Linked DNA regions of Danio rerio. The protein of the gene in region 2 binds, or shares a complex with, the protein of the main gene of each other region. Links are inferred from orthologs where the notes say so. Each region holds a gene or a part of one and is shown on either strand. Other genes may lie near its edges. The genes, in order: tars1, eif4e2rs1 and gigyf2.

What was found.
Region 1: the proteins of eif4e2rs1 (region 2) and tars1 are in contact, whole or in part, in a crystal structure (PDB 5XLN), measured with the Homo sapiens proteins. The link is inferred for Danio rerio from reciprocal best matches to the Homo sapiens genes EIF4E2 and TARS1. Residues at the interface, in NP_004837.1 of Homo sapiens: His54, Pro55, Leu56, Gln57, Val91, Glu92, Phe94, Trp95, Arg96, Glu149, Asn150, Leu153, Leu156, Gly157, Glu158, Gln159, Met161, Val203; in NP_001245366.1 of Homo sapiens: Pro51, Glu52, Tyr53, Ile54, Tyr55, Thr56, Arg57, Met60, Tyr61, Ile63, Leu64, Glu67.
Region 3: the proteins of eif4e2rs1 (region 2) and gigyf2 are in contact, whole or in part, in a crystal structure (PDB 5NVM), measured with the Homo sapiens proteins. The link is inferred for Danio rerio from reciprocal best matches to the Homo sapiens genes EIF4E2 and GIGYF2. Residues at the interface, in NP_004837.1 of Homo sapiens: His54, Pro55, Leu56, Gln57, Tyr64, Arg66, Asn81, Lys83, Gln84, Ile85, Gly86, Thr87, Val91, Glu92, Phe94, Trp95, Arg96, Phe97, Ser99, His100, Met101, Val102, Leu107, Phe113, Glu149, Asn150, Leu153, Leu156, Gly157, Glu158; in NP_001096616.1 of Homo sapiens: Leu38, Ala39, Asp40, Tyr41, Arg42, Tyr43, Gly44, Arg45, Met48, Leu49, Leu51, Phe52, Leu53, Asn56, Lys57, Ile58, Pro59, Asp61, Leu62, Asp64, Glu66, Phe67, Pro69, Ile70, Leu71, Gln72.

Annotation. Positions count from the first base shown.
Region 1 is NC_133180.1:45,231,388-45,235,042, reverse strand, and holds part of tars1 (threonine--tRNA ligase 1, cytoplasmic), read right to left. Parts: intron 826-3,655; coding exon 663-825; intron 32-662; coding exon 1-31. UniProt on the Homo sapiens protein: Catalyzes the attachment of threonine to tRNA(Thr) in a two-step reaction: threonine is first activated by ATP to form Thr-AMP and then transferred to the acceptor end of tRNA(Thr).
Region 2 is NC_133198.1:48,179,338-48,183,511, reverse strand, and holds the start of eif4e2rs1 (eukaryotic translation initiation factor 4E family member 2 related sequence 1), read right to left. Parts: upstream 2,892-4,174; 5' UTR 2,684-2,891; coding exon 2,667-2,683; intron 1-2,666. UniProt on the Homo sapiens protein: Recognizes and binds the 7-methylguanosine-containing mRNA cap during an early step in the initiation. Acts as a repressor of translation initiation.
Region 3 is NC_133177.1:51,526,690-51,531,034, reverse strand, and holds the start of gigyf2 (GRB10-interacting GYF protein 2), read left to right. Parts: upstream 1-1,462; 5' UTR 1,463-1,532; intron 1,533-4,345. UniProt on the Homo sapiens protein: Key component of the 4EHP-GYF2 complex, a multiprotein complex that acts as a repressor of translation initiation. In the 4EHP-GYF2 complex, acts as a factor that bridges EIF4E2 to ZFP36/TTP, linking translation repression with mRNA decay.

The DNA.
Region 1 (3,655 bases), on a different chromosome or scaffold from region 2:
AGTCCAGACAACCTTTGATCTCAGACTCAATCTGACAGGGGTAAGAGGGGAACAAAGAATAAACTCCTGATTTCAGTTTAAACCAATTCATAAGCTCATAAAGCAAATGCCTTTAATGCACTAAAAAAGAAATGCAGGATTCTAAAACATTTAGATCGGTAAATAAAAATAATAATTATGGATCAAAGATAATTTAATGACATAATAATAAAAAAAAAAAAAATATATATATATATATATATATATATATATATATATATATATATATATATTTTTATATATATATATATATATATATATATATATATATATATATATATAAAAATATATATATATATATATATAAAAATATATAAATATAGATTTTTTTATTATATATAAAATTTAAATATTAATACATTATCATATCTGTTGTGCTGAATGTTGACAAAACATTATTTCGTCAGTATTTGACAAATTTTCAACAAGTTATCTAAAGAATAAAGTTGATGCTTTTATTGCATTGAATATCTTTCTCTGTATATAAAATCCTATTTGTACATTTGTACTTTTTTATTATTGCAAATGGTACAATTCATCTTTGCCCTAAATTCTTAGCATTTCAGTGTTAACACTGAAAACAACAAATGACAAAAAGCATTGTTCATTCAACAGTAAAACACCTGGTCCATCGAGCAGAAGATGTGAGCATCATCTTGTTGGAAGCGTCTGACTCTTGTCAGGCCAGTCAGAGCTCCAGACAACTCATTACGATGCAAAACCCCAAAATCAGCCAGACGCAGGGGAAGTTCCCTCCAAGAACGTGGCCGGTGGTCAAACATCAGACTAGAAAACAAAAAAACAACTCTGAGAAATCTTCTCCTTACCAAATCTTCTTTACCAAACATGTATAATTCAGCAACACTGTCCTGCCTTTTATACAAACAACAATATGTTAGTAAAGATTTGTTCGTTACGTTTGATGTCACATATCAGTTTTTAATTCAGAAAACTATATTCATTTGCCACAAGCAAATTATACTAATGTACAAGTATAATGTGTTGGAATACTACTGAAAATAATAATTTTAATATTATTTTATGCATACTGTAAGATGGTCAGAGTGATTCATATGTTAAGAATCATTAGAAAATTGTTTTAGGAGATACCACAACTCCAGATACTGTAGTTACACCATGAAAGATTACTTCAACGTGTGAATGTTATGAATAACACAGTGGTCGAAAATGGCTAAGGTGTGTCTGTGTCTGAAAGCTCTAAAATGCTGTCTTTTGATGCAGTATTCTAAAAGAAAGGTATCAAGAAATGTCTGAATCCAAATTCTGCTTCACATCCTTTCTCCGTAGATGCTATATTCTGATCATATTTTTAAGGCAGTCTATGGTTGTGTCAGAAACTGTCTACAACTCGAGTATGTACTACACGACCGATAGAAAAGTACATTCTATTAGAGCTGCTCGATTATGGGAAAAATCATAATCACGATTACTTTGTTCATAATTGTAATCACAATTATCAGATTATCAAAATTATTCGCCCTCCTGTGAATTTTTTTACATATAAATATTTCCCAAATTATGTTTAACAAAGGGATTTTTCACAGTATTTCCTATATTTCTTCTTCTAGAGAAAGGCTTATTTGTTATATTTTGGAAAGAATAAAAGCAGTTTTAAATATTTTGAAACCTATTTTAACAGCTCAATATTATTAGCCTTTTTAAGAAATATATAATTTTTGAGTGCAGAAAAAACTACTGTTATACAATGATTTGCCTACCCTAAATAAGTCTTTGAATGTCATTTTATGCTGAATAATAGTATCTTGAAAAATATCTAGTAAAACATAACGTGCTGTCAACATAGCAAAGATAAAAGAAATCATTTATTAGAAATGAGTTATTAAATCGGTTTTGTTTAAACTGTGCTTTAAGAATCTTCACTGTAAGAAAAAACACTTCAGCTACAAAAGTCATTCAGTCAAGAGCAGTGAAGGATTTTGTCCATTTGTTTTTTGATTATTAATAAAGACAGTTGGCCACAGAAATATTGCAAGCTGTCACTTTAAGAATAGTGCGGTTCTGATATGGTTTCTCTTTCACATGTCTTTTGATTCTCAACTTGTTTGTTTATTACACAAATGAGAGTTAATATGAATAATCCTTAAACACCTCTGACACAAATGTGCATGTATTTAACCATTAAAGCGCCGACATTAAGATGGCGTTAGATGTGTGTGCTCTGCTGTCCGAGACTAAGCGCGAGCCTGTCCGAGGCCATATCCGCGGCGTGCACACACACACACAACAGCTTTTAAAAATATGAACAATGCGCATCCCGTGCTGCAAAAGTTACATAACAGTACATGCTTTTAGTTATTTTCACATGGAACTGAGCTTTGCAGAGCAACAAATGTGTACAACTGAAAAGGGGGCCGTATATGATGGAATAATAGTTTATCTCGATTAATGATTTTTCATAATCGTTAGAAGCCAAAATCGAAATCGGATTTTCGATTAAATGCACAGCCCTAAATACTATATAATATAAATATGAGAAGTCTGAATGGAACTCGAACATACTACATCCACCATTTGTCATAATCACACAACCTACCCACCTCAGTTGCGTTGCTTAACTCCCATTCATGAATTATCTTGTGTGGAATTATGGCATAGCGTATAATCCATTGTAAGTACACTTCAGAATCTTGCGAATATAGAAAGTCATCATGCTTCTTGCCTACTGTTTTTCAAATTCTATGAATTTGATTATACTACTCATATCACATACTGTTTTTTACGTACTATATAGAAGGCAAGTATGCAATTTCAAACACAGCCTATGTGCACTTCACTGCCCTCGGTATTCCATAATCCTGTGCATTCCATTTGTAATATTTGAACTAAATAATAAAATAGACTCTCAAAGAGCCATTTTAGTCATTTTTGTAAATGTATGTTTTTAAAAAGTTATCAATTTTTTTATGAAATTTCGAGAAGTAACTATTGGGGTGAGCAAATATAACTTATAACTAGGGCTAGACAGAATCTGCAGATATTTTTTCCTGTTTCTGCATAGAATTTTGTAAAAAAAATCTGGATTTATGCGAAAAGGTTTTGGGAGTATCACAACTAAAAAAAATTTAAAATAAATTAATATATCAAATAAAAAAAAACTTCTTAACTTTTATTTAATGTTTACAATACAAATTCAATTAGATCCGCTTAATTGGTAAACAAAGCAAGTCTCACAAAGGCTAATAATAGATTTAAAAACACAGAAAATATTACTAAAACTATATTGTAAATAAATCATATGAAAATTTTCATATTAGCCAATAATATTACTGAAATTAATTTAAAAACTAATAAATATAATTTAACACACATTTACAAAAGTAAATGTATAGACTAAATGATGAATTAAAAATCTGCAGATTTCCACACGCGTAGATTCAGTGTGGGACTGCTTATAACCAAAGCTTTCTCATGTTAGTTGTATGTGATTAAATCATTACGCTGTCTCAAAAGTCTGTTTGAAATCAGGTACCTTTGTGTAAAAAGGTGTAAAAAGGTGCCTTTGTGTTAATACGCTGCCTTAAGAGTCATTGGGCCCTACCATACAACCGGCGCGATATGGCGCAAGCGCAACGCG
Region 2 (4,174 bases):
GAGCGTATGGCAAGCCGTTTTAGCATTTAAACCTTGTTCAGACTATCCATAAATATATTTAGAGATATCTCTAATTATATTTTGACTTGTCATAATTATAATTCGACTAGTCAGATTGGAAATATCTGCAAATATATTATGATAGACTAGTCATATTCCTCCATTGACTTCCATTGAAAAATATTTGCAGATATCTCTAAATAAGTTGACTAGTCACAATTGTAATTAGAGATATCTCCAAATGAATTTTGACTAGTCAAAAATCCAATTCAAGATATCTACAACTGTAATTAGACTTTTAGTAAATTAATTAGAGATATCTTCAAATATATTTGTAAATATCTCTAAATATGATGAATTAAAGATATCTCTAAATGTATTATGACTAGTAAAAACTCAGAGATATCAATTACAGTTGTTACTAGTCAAAATTCATCTGATTACGTATTAGTACAATTGTAATTGCAGATATGTCTAATTGTCATTCTGAGTAGTGGAATTATAATTATGACTAGTCAAAATATAATTAGAGATATCTCTAATATATTTATGGAGCCAGAACAAAGATTTAAATGCTAAAAAGGCTTGCCATAGAGAGCGCTTCTCACTAAACAGAGCACCGCGCAACCTTCTATGTAATGTATTATCACATGCACTAAAAGCATCCTAAAAGCATCAACACAGCCACATTCTGCCCCAGCAAGTCAGTTTCAAACATAAAAAAACAAACAAACAAACTTTGTGTCTTTTTGTGGCAGGCAGATGACAATAGCAGGGCTGTATCTTTTAGTATTATATAGAATACTTTTGTTCTGCCAGATCTCCCAGGCAGGGTTTTATTTAGATTTATTTAGTTAATATTAGTTTTTGGAATTCTGTCCATTGGAAAGAAGTTCTTTCAGAAGAAGAACAGTTTTTTGAAGTATTATTTGTTTTTATTCTGTCTATTCAGTGTCCTTCAACAAGAACGGTGGTGGTGGGGTTCATAATATTCACAATGGTATTTTATTAGTTGTTGGTTTAACCATGGATGAGATAATGGCTTCTATGTTATTTTCTTTTCAATGACATTTCTTATCACATGTTCAAAAACAACAGCCAATATTGCATATCTATAATTTATATAATGGGTATAATTAAACAATACTTTCACTATAACGTAAATTAGAAGTGTAATAGAAAAAATATATATTTTTGCGCCATTTTGAATTTCACTCGAATACAAATACAAATACAAATACTTTTCCCCCCTCAACAAATACAAATACAAATACAAATACCGGCTGCTCCGCACATCCCTAATATATATATATATATATATATATATATATATATATATATATATATATATATATATATATATGAGCAATTCCAGCATTATGGATGTGACATTTGCAGTAAAAACTCAACACATAAATTGACAGAGGAAGTATATGTTAACATTATATTGAAAAATTTGATTATATTTTCTAGAGCAACTAGCCACAGAGTTATGGGAGCAGAAAAATATCAATCTGTAAACATGTTTTGTACTTTAAATGTGGAAAATAAGCATGCGTTATGGGTGTGACAAAAAAAGTCTGCGAGTTTACAGTATACAACACACTTTGTAGAAATTATGTGAATTAAACTGCACAACCCAAAAGAAATAATGCTAATCAAAAGGATTTGAGTCGGCTCTCTATAAAACAAAAATGATTGGTTTTATTTTATTTAATATTTTCACATTTCTGAGGAAAAAGTGTTGTTATGCATGTGACATCTCTCTGTTATGGATGTGACGCATGTGAAATTACCATTTGTGTGACTTTGGTAAATCAAATAGTAATAGTTTGAAAACATTAACAGATGCTTTTTGAGTATTTTTAAAGTACAGTAAAATACTTGCCTACACAAAAAACCCAGAAATGGTTTCCGTATTTTGGTAAAAACTTAATTTTTTTTCATGGCAAGGTTGACATTTGCACAGAATTGCTCATATATATATATATATATATATATATATATATATATATATATATATATATATATATATATAATTTTGGAAAAGTATTTCTGCAAATTATAAATGGTAATATCATATTAGCAGCCAATGGCTATCGAAGTACAGCATTGTTTACAGTCAATAAATAGTGCTAATGTTGTTTTAAATTCATAATTTTAGGTAGAATATTCAAATTACCATGGTAAACAGGAATTATGTTAAAAATATATATGGAAATATAGGGTGCATGTAACAAATTGACACTGAATGAATGTCAGAAATAAAACCAACTTTACCTCAATTGTGTGTTGTGTATATAAACATACACATAATAAATAAAATAATGTACATAATAGATAAATAAAGGTACATATTTGTTTATTTTACTTGTGTTTAAAATGAAGATGAATCTAAATCTACTGTTAAACAGTGCACTAAATCAAAGCAAATACTGTATATAAACGTGTGTTCCACATACACATATAAACAATTCCACACATTAATATTACTGTAACACATTAAATAAATGTATCGTTATTAAACTAAAGACATACACACCACACGTTAATCTTTATATAATGTTAATAAACCCGTGAGTCTTGTTGAATGTATCTGCTTTATGTTTGTAATAGCTGAAGTTAAATGTTTAATGGAGAATATTAGCCGTTAGCCGCTAACTTACTGTTCAAACTGATTCATTCCGCGTTGTCGTTCCTGCTTCTTCTTTCAACGTAAACCTCGATATATAAATACGCTTTATAACTTTTGGAATAATTACTGTTATGTTAAACTATTAGATGTTAGTGTGTTTAATTCAACGGGCAGAGAATAAACTATACTACATGCTACACTGAAGCCAACCACGGTCACTGCGCATGTGCGGACGGCAATCGAGAAACGACAAAAAGCACAAACCGCGGAAGACTCGCTTAAAGAGTACACAAACATGTTGATTAAACACAACAAAACGTTGAAATAATCAACGGCAAACAAAACATTATGATAACAGCGTGGTCGAAGCATACAAATCTTTAAAAACAAATCAATTAAATCCGTCCGATTTGCTGGTTTGAGCTAAAATATACAAAATGCTAAGTCTTGTTTACAGTAACTCAGTGCTCAGACAAAAAAAGCCTTATAGCAGGCCGTAGCCAGTCTTGTGAAAGGGTGGTTCTTTTTTTTTTCTAAAAAATGTGGACTTTTGTTGCAGTCATTCACCTCATTTTCTATTTAAATACTTCAATAAGAGGCATTTTAAGCACTATTTTAGTTGGATTAGCTTGTTCATCTAACAACAACCTATTAGTATACACAGCAAGAGTCAGTCTAAAGGCACTCGAAAAATGTGGGGAAAATAATAAAGCCTTTACTCACATGACTATTTCCTAAAACTGCACCTACACGTTTTGATAACCCTTTACTTCATCAGGGTAACCTGATCACAGTTTTAAGTCACAGCCATGTCAATAAAGGCCTGTTACTATTTTTTCCACATTTTTAAGTGCCTTGGACTGATTTTGATGTTTATTCTGATGAATCCCTTACACAAAGAGCACTGACACATTATTTAAGCTACCCCTGAAAACTTTTAGTTTGATTTTGGAGATTTACACAGCCTAGTTAGTGTTAAACTTAACTTTAATAGGCTACTTTTGGTGCTTCAGACCTTATATTAGTTATTTCTATCTCTCAAGAATAAGGTTAAGATTTTAAACAAAAGTCAGGCTACTTGTAAAATTTTTTTTTTTACAAAAGTCGGTCAATAGTAAAAGTTGACTTCACTTAAATATTGTGCATTTTCTTAAAACCTTCAATGATTTATTTACACAGTTTATCATGACATGTCAAAATAGGTCAAATGAGAATATAGTGGCAACTAGATGTAGACATAAATAACTTTATATAATTAAAACAATATCTACAAACTGCTTAACTAAAGACGAAACAGTATAAGTTAAACACTTACTATAGTAAAGTAATTAATCTGTTGTGGTGATTATGGTAACACAACAACTATAGTAATATAAACAATTGACCCAACCCACATAGCAAAATTTCTCTGGCCCAGCTCTGGCCCACACAATCAGGTTTTGCTTGGCCCACATGCCGCAGTGAATTACGGTACATGACTGGACCAAATCTGGCTTCCAGACAAGGGCCAAACACGGACCATATCTGGGCCAAGTCTCA
Region 3 (4,345 bases), on a different chromosome or scaffold from region 2:
GTATTATTGCTTTGAGACTGGTGCTGTGAAATTGGAGGAACTCAGATACTCCCTCTTTTAAGGATTGGATTGAGCTGATGACTTCTACCTCATCTGTTGGCAAGACTTCAGGACTCCACCAATACTTTTAGTCAGAAATGGGGTAGCTTTTTACAGTATTTAGAGAGCATATAAAAGGACAATTGAAGGGTTGTCAATTTGACTGTCTGTTGTATTGTTTTATTAAATATTTTATATTTGTTATATATTTTTTGCTATTATTTTTATTATAATTTGTTTACATTCTTTTCCTGAATGTTCATTTTATATTGTGAATTTCATGTTGTGTGGGGTATAAAAGTTCAAAATAAAATAAAAAAGTTCAATGACAAAAAAAATTACAATTAAAATAAAAAAAATACGTTATATATATATTTTTTAAGAATTTGACTATTTTACTGCTATTTTATTGTTTTCTGATCCATTGCTTTTAAATTTTGTTTGTAAAGTGACATTACAGGCTTATAAACTGACTGATTGTTATATGGTCTTATCATACGAAAGCAGTTTCGAGAGTTCACACTTAGCTGATGATTAATTATAAAGCTTGTTTGGCATGCTGTCCCGGGAGAGTTGTTGAAATGTAATTCATAAAAATGTAATTGATTTAAATTAAGTATTCATTCGCAGTTAAACTGGTAAAGGACACAAATTGGATCACAGTTCAATTTAGAGGAAATACAGATTGTTTCCTTTTTTAGTTTTGACGCTTTCTAGGGCACTGCTCTACCCGCACGCATGATAAACTCTTTAAAGTGCTATATTATATGTACCCATTCTCAGAATGACACCTTTTTTTGCGTGACACAACAAGATGTCTCTTTTGCTTAGTTTCAGATCTTGGTGATAAGGAGTAGGCTAAGGGTTTGGGGGCTAGAGGTGTGTAACTCTTTTGATGTTTGACTCTTTTCACTTCTTCTAATAAACACCAACATGTTGATGCTTTTAATGATCATTCGTTTATATATTCATTTAAATAATGTAATTATTATGTCTGTAACAGATTAAAATATTAGAAATATCAGAACATGTGCTGTAAAAACAGTCCTAAATAACAACTTGAATTTCTTCAGATATGACACAATACAATTTTCTGATAATTTAAACCTTTTTGATATTAGAAAAATGATGTATAAATATATAAGTGATTAAGCTTATTTTGTTTGTGATTTTTCAAAGTTTTTGAGTGTCCTGGAATACAAATTATTATCTAATTCTAATGAACTTTGCCGAATTAATTACCATTACATTGTAAAACTACGTTCCATAAACCATTCAAGCTCTTTTAAAATCTTTAAAATAGCATTTATTTGAAGTGTCTGTGTGCACTGTAGTAAATATGCACTACGGAACTGCTGCTGTCAGCACGTTCGCTCACATCCGGGCCCTTTTCAGCCTACGTGTTGTCATGTGACCCACGTTCAGCCATCTTGTGGATACGAAACGAGAGACGCCACTCGCACACAAACTCAGCACTGTCAGTAAAAGCAGAGGTAAGACAGCGGCTCCGGCGTACATGGTTTTGCTCTAAAATAAAACGTAACTATTCCTACGCTATCTCTAAGTCTCATAGGCCTGCCACGACCTAGCGTAGCGTCGCTAATCTAGCCCGCATGGTTGTTAGGCCTCGAGGCGCCAGACTCGATTTGAGCGGCCTGCCGGTGATGATGCTATCAGCCTTAGGAAGGCGGCTGTAGCGCAGCGTGGTGTGGCTAAAAACTAAGCACAGGCCGCAAGGATTAAAACTCGTGTCAACTCACTCATACATTTACTTCGCTCACCGTTCAATGTGTATTCGTGATTGTGCTAGTATTTATTTCTGGAATATTTGACAGTTCGCCCACTTCGTGGTGTTGCGTGGGCTAATTTTTAAAGTTAGTAGGAGTTGGGAGTCAGAAAGTTAAATGCATGGCGATAGCCAGGCGAGTATGTCTCATCCCTATCGCCGGTTACATGGCATTTATAACGTTAGTTAACGATTCAGTCGTGCTTTATACATCTAAACATGCTTAAAACCGATTTGTTTGTGTGTCTTGATCTAAACGTTTGATTGTGGACTGCAGTGCTTGCAGGGTGTATGTATGAAGGCATGGACCGACAGTGATCTTTGGCATATTAAAGTGACATTTATCTGTGTTTGCTTTAGAGGTTTGTGTAAATAAATACACGATAAATTCACATTCAGATCAGTTACACATGATCGTATATACTAGCCTTCTTTATTGATCAAGTCTCGTCTGATATTGACAGTTTTCCTTATTAGTTTGACCTGTGAAGTCTCTCAAAGCTAAAATTAATCATTAAGATTTTTGTTATGTGTAAAAACGCGAATTTTATGCATTTTCAATCCTCAAAATGCCAAACCGTGGTGATTTATGTTCACTGCTCAGCAAGATGCAATCTGTTGACCATCTGTTTTGAAGCTAAACTAGCTTTATTGACTTTTTGTTCCGTGTTAAGCTGTTGAATTTTCCGCCCTGACTGGTTTTAAACAAATACTTGTGCTAAACATGCCTTTTGGGGACCTAGTGTGATCTAGTAGATTATATATGAAGATCCACATTTTTAATATAAAACATGATTGGTCGGTTTTTGTTGTAGGAAGCAAGCGTAATCTAGATCGTATTGCTTCATTGAGTTGTACACGTGGTTTAAATCCCAGCAAGTCAGCAAGTCACTCCTGTTTGTTTTGCATAGAGCTTATGTCATCATCTCATTGTGGCTGTGCACACTAAATTTAGAATATATTAGACCTAAAATAAAATGGCAAGCTTTCTTGTTTTCCCCCTTGGGTTAAACGGGTCTGGTTTGACAGGTCTCCTGAGATGACAGTATTTGACTATTATGAACATGTGATCAGTTCAAATCAAGTTCAGAAGAAGCTAGTTGTAGTACTGCATGGTGGGCAAGGGAAGCCGCGGGTTGCACAGATGTCTGAGAACGCCCTTCCTATTTGGGAGAGTTCTTAAAATAGCTCGTCACAGGAGGGGTGTATAGTGAGGTACCAGACAAATGGGGGTCACCTCTAAAATATGCTGAAAATATGCTGGTTTACTTGTTTCTCTATGTGTTTATTATTGAACCTGATAGAGCTTCACAGTATATGGTTTCAGGATTGATATTGCAATGTGCACATTTGCACTAGTCTCATCGCAGGATATGCAGTGTCAAGTCAGGATTAGAGTAGGATTTAAAATCACACTTGATCTTGGAATAATTGCAAAGTTTAAGCATAAAGTTACAAAACGTATGTGTTATTGCATGTGTTTTAAGCTCTCTGTATCCATTTCAATCCATTCATGCTCAAGAAGTGAACATTTTAGTAATTCGAATGACTAATTGTATTTATGTATAGTATATATGCAATAAATATTATATAGTGTTTTTTTTTGTTTTACGTTTAATTATGCAATTTGTCTGCCTGAATTAGGGCTGGGCGATACGGCAAAAATGCAATCTCTATAAATATTTTCCATATTGAATGATAACGATTTATATTCCGATATAAGTTATAATTGCTTTCAGATTTAAAAGAGTCCACCAACTATGACTGAGGCCACTAAAATTAGAAGGTCAATTAAACATATTTTCATAATAAAATATTAACATAATAAATATTAACATATTTTCGGCCAATAAATTTAGTAGCTGAAAATTCGGTACATTTCTAATGTCAACACACTTTTAGATTCCCATTGTTGCACTTTTCTGCTGTGTAATTGGCTCTTAGATCAATATAGAGTCAAAAAATCCAGAGCTTATCATTGTTGTTTTAAAAGAGTTTATCGCAATTCTATATAATATTGTTTATAGGTCCAGCCCTAGCCTGAATACTGTTAGACTTCCAGAAAAAAACAGGGTGTCCACGGGTTATTGAAGTCTTAATGTGTTAACTTTCAAAAATACAATTTTAGGGCTAAAACCTCTCAAGTTTCCTCAAATATTGTGTTTTAGATCTGAAAAAGTCTTAATTTTTCTGTGTTCATGTAAAACTAACCAATCGAGCAGATACTTTACACAGATCACCAAAATCCTTCTCAAAGTTTAATCAATTATTAACTCGGAGTATGATTTAATTACAATAAACATTTGTTAAAAGGTGTGTTTATAGCTACTTGGTGAGGACTGTTGTGAATATTTTTTATTATAGTTTTTAAAACTTATTTTTAATAAAGAAGTTTATGTTGGGAAACAAAGTGCATGTAAACTTGAGTTTGCTTTGTTTTATTACATTATAGTTAAGATTTTTTTTTCTTTTCTTTTTCGATTGGTCAAGTAAAAATATTTTCCAGTAGAACAAAGGCCT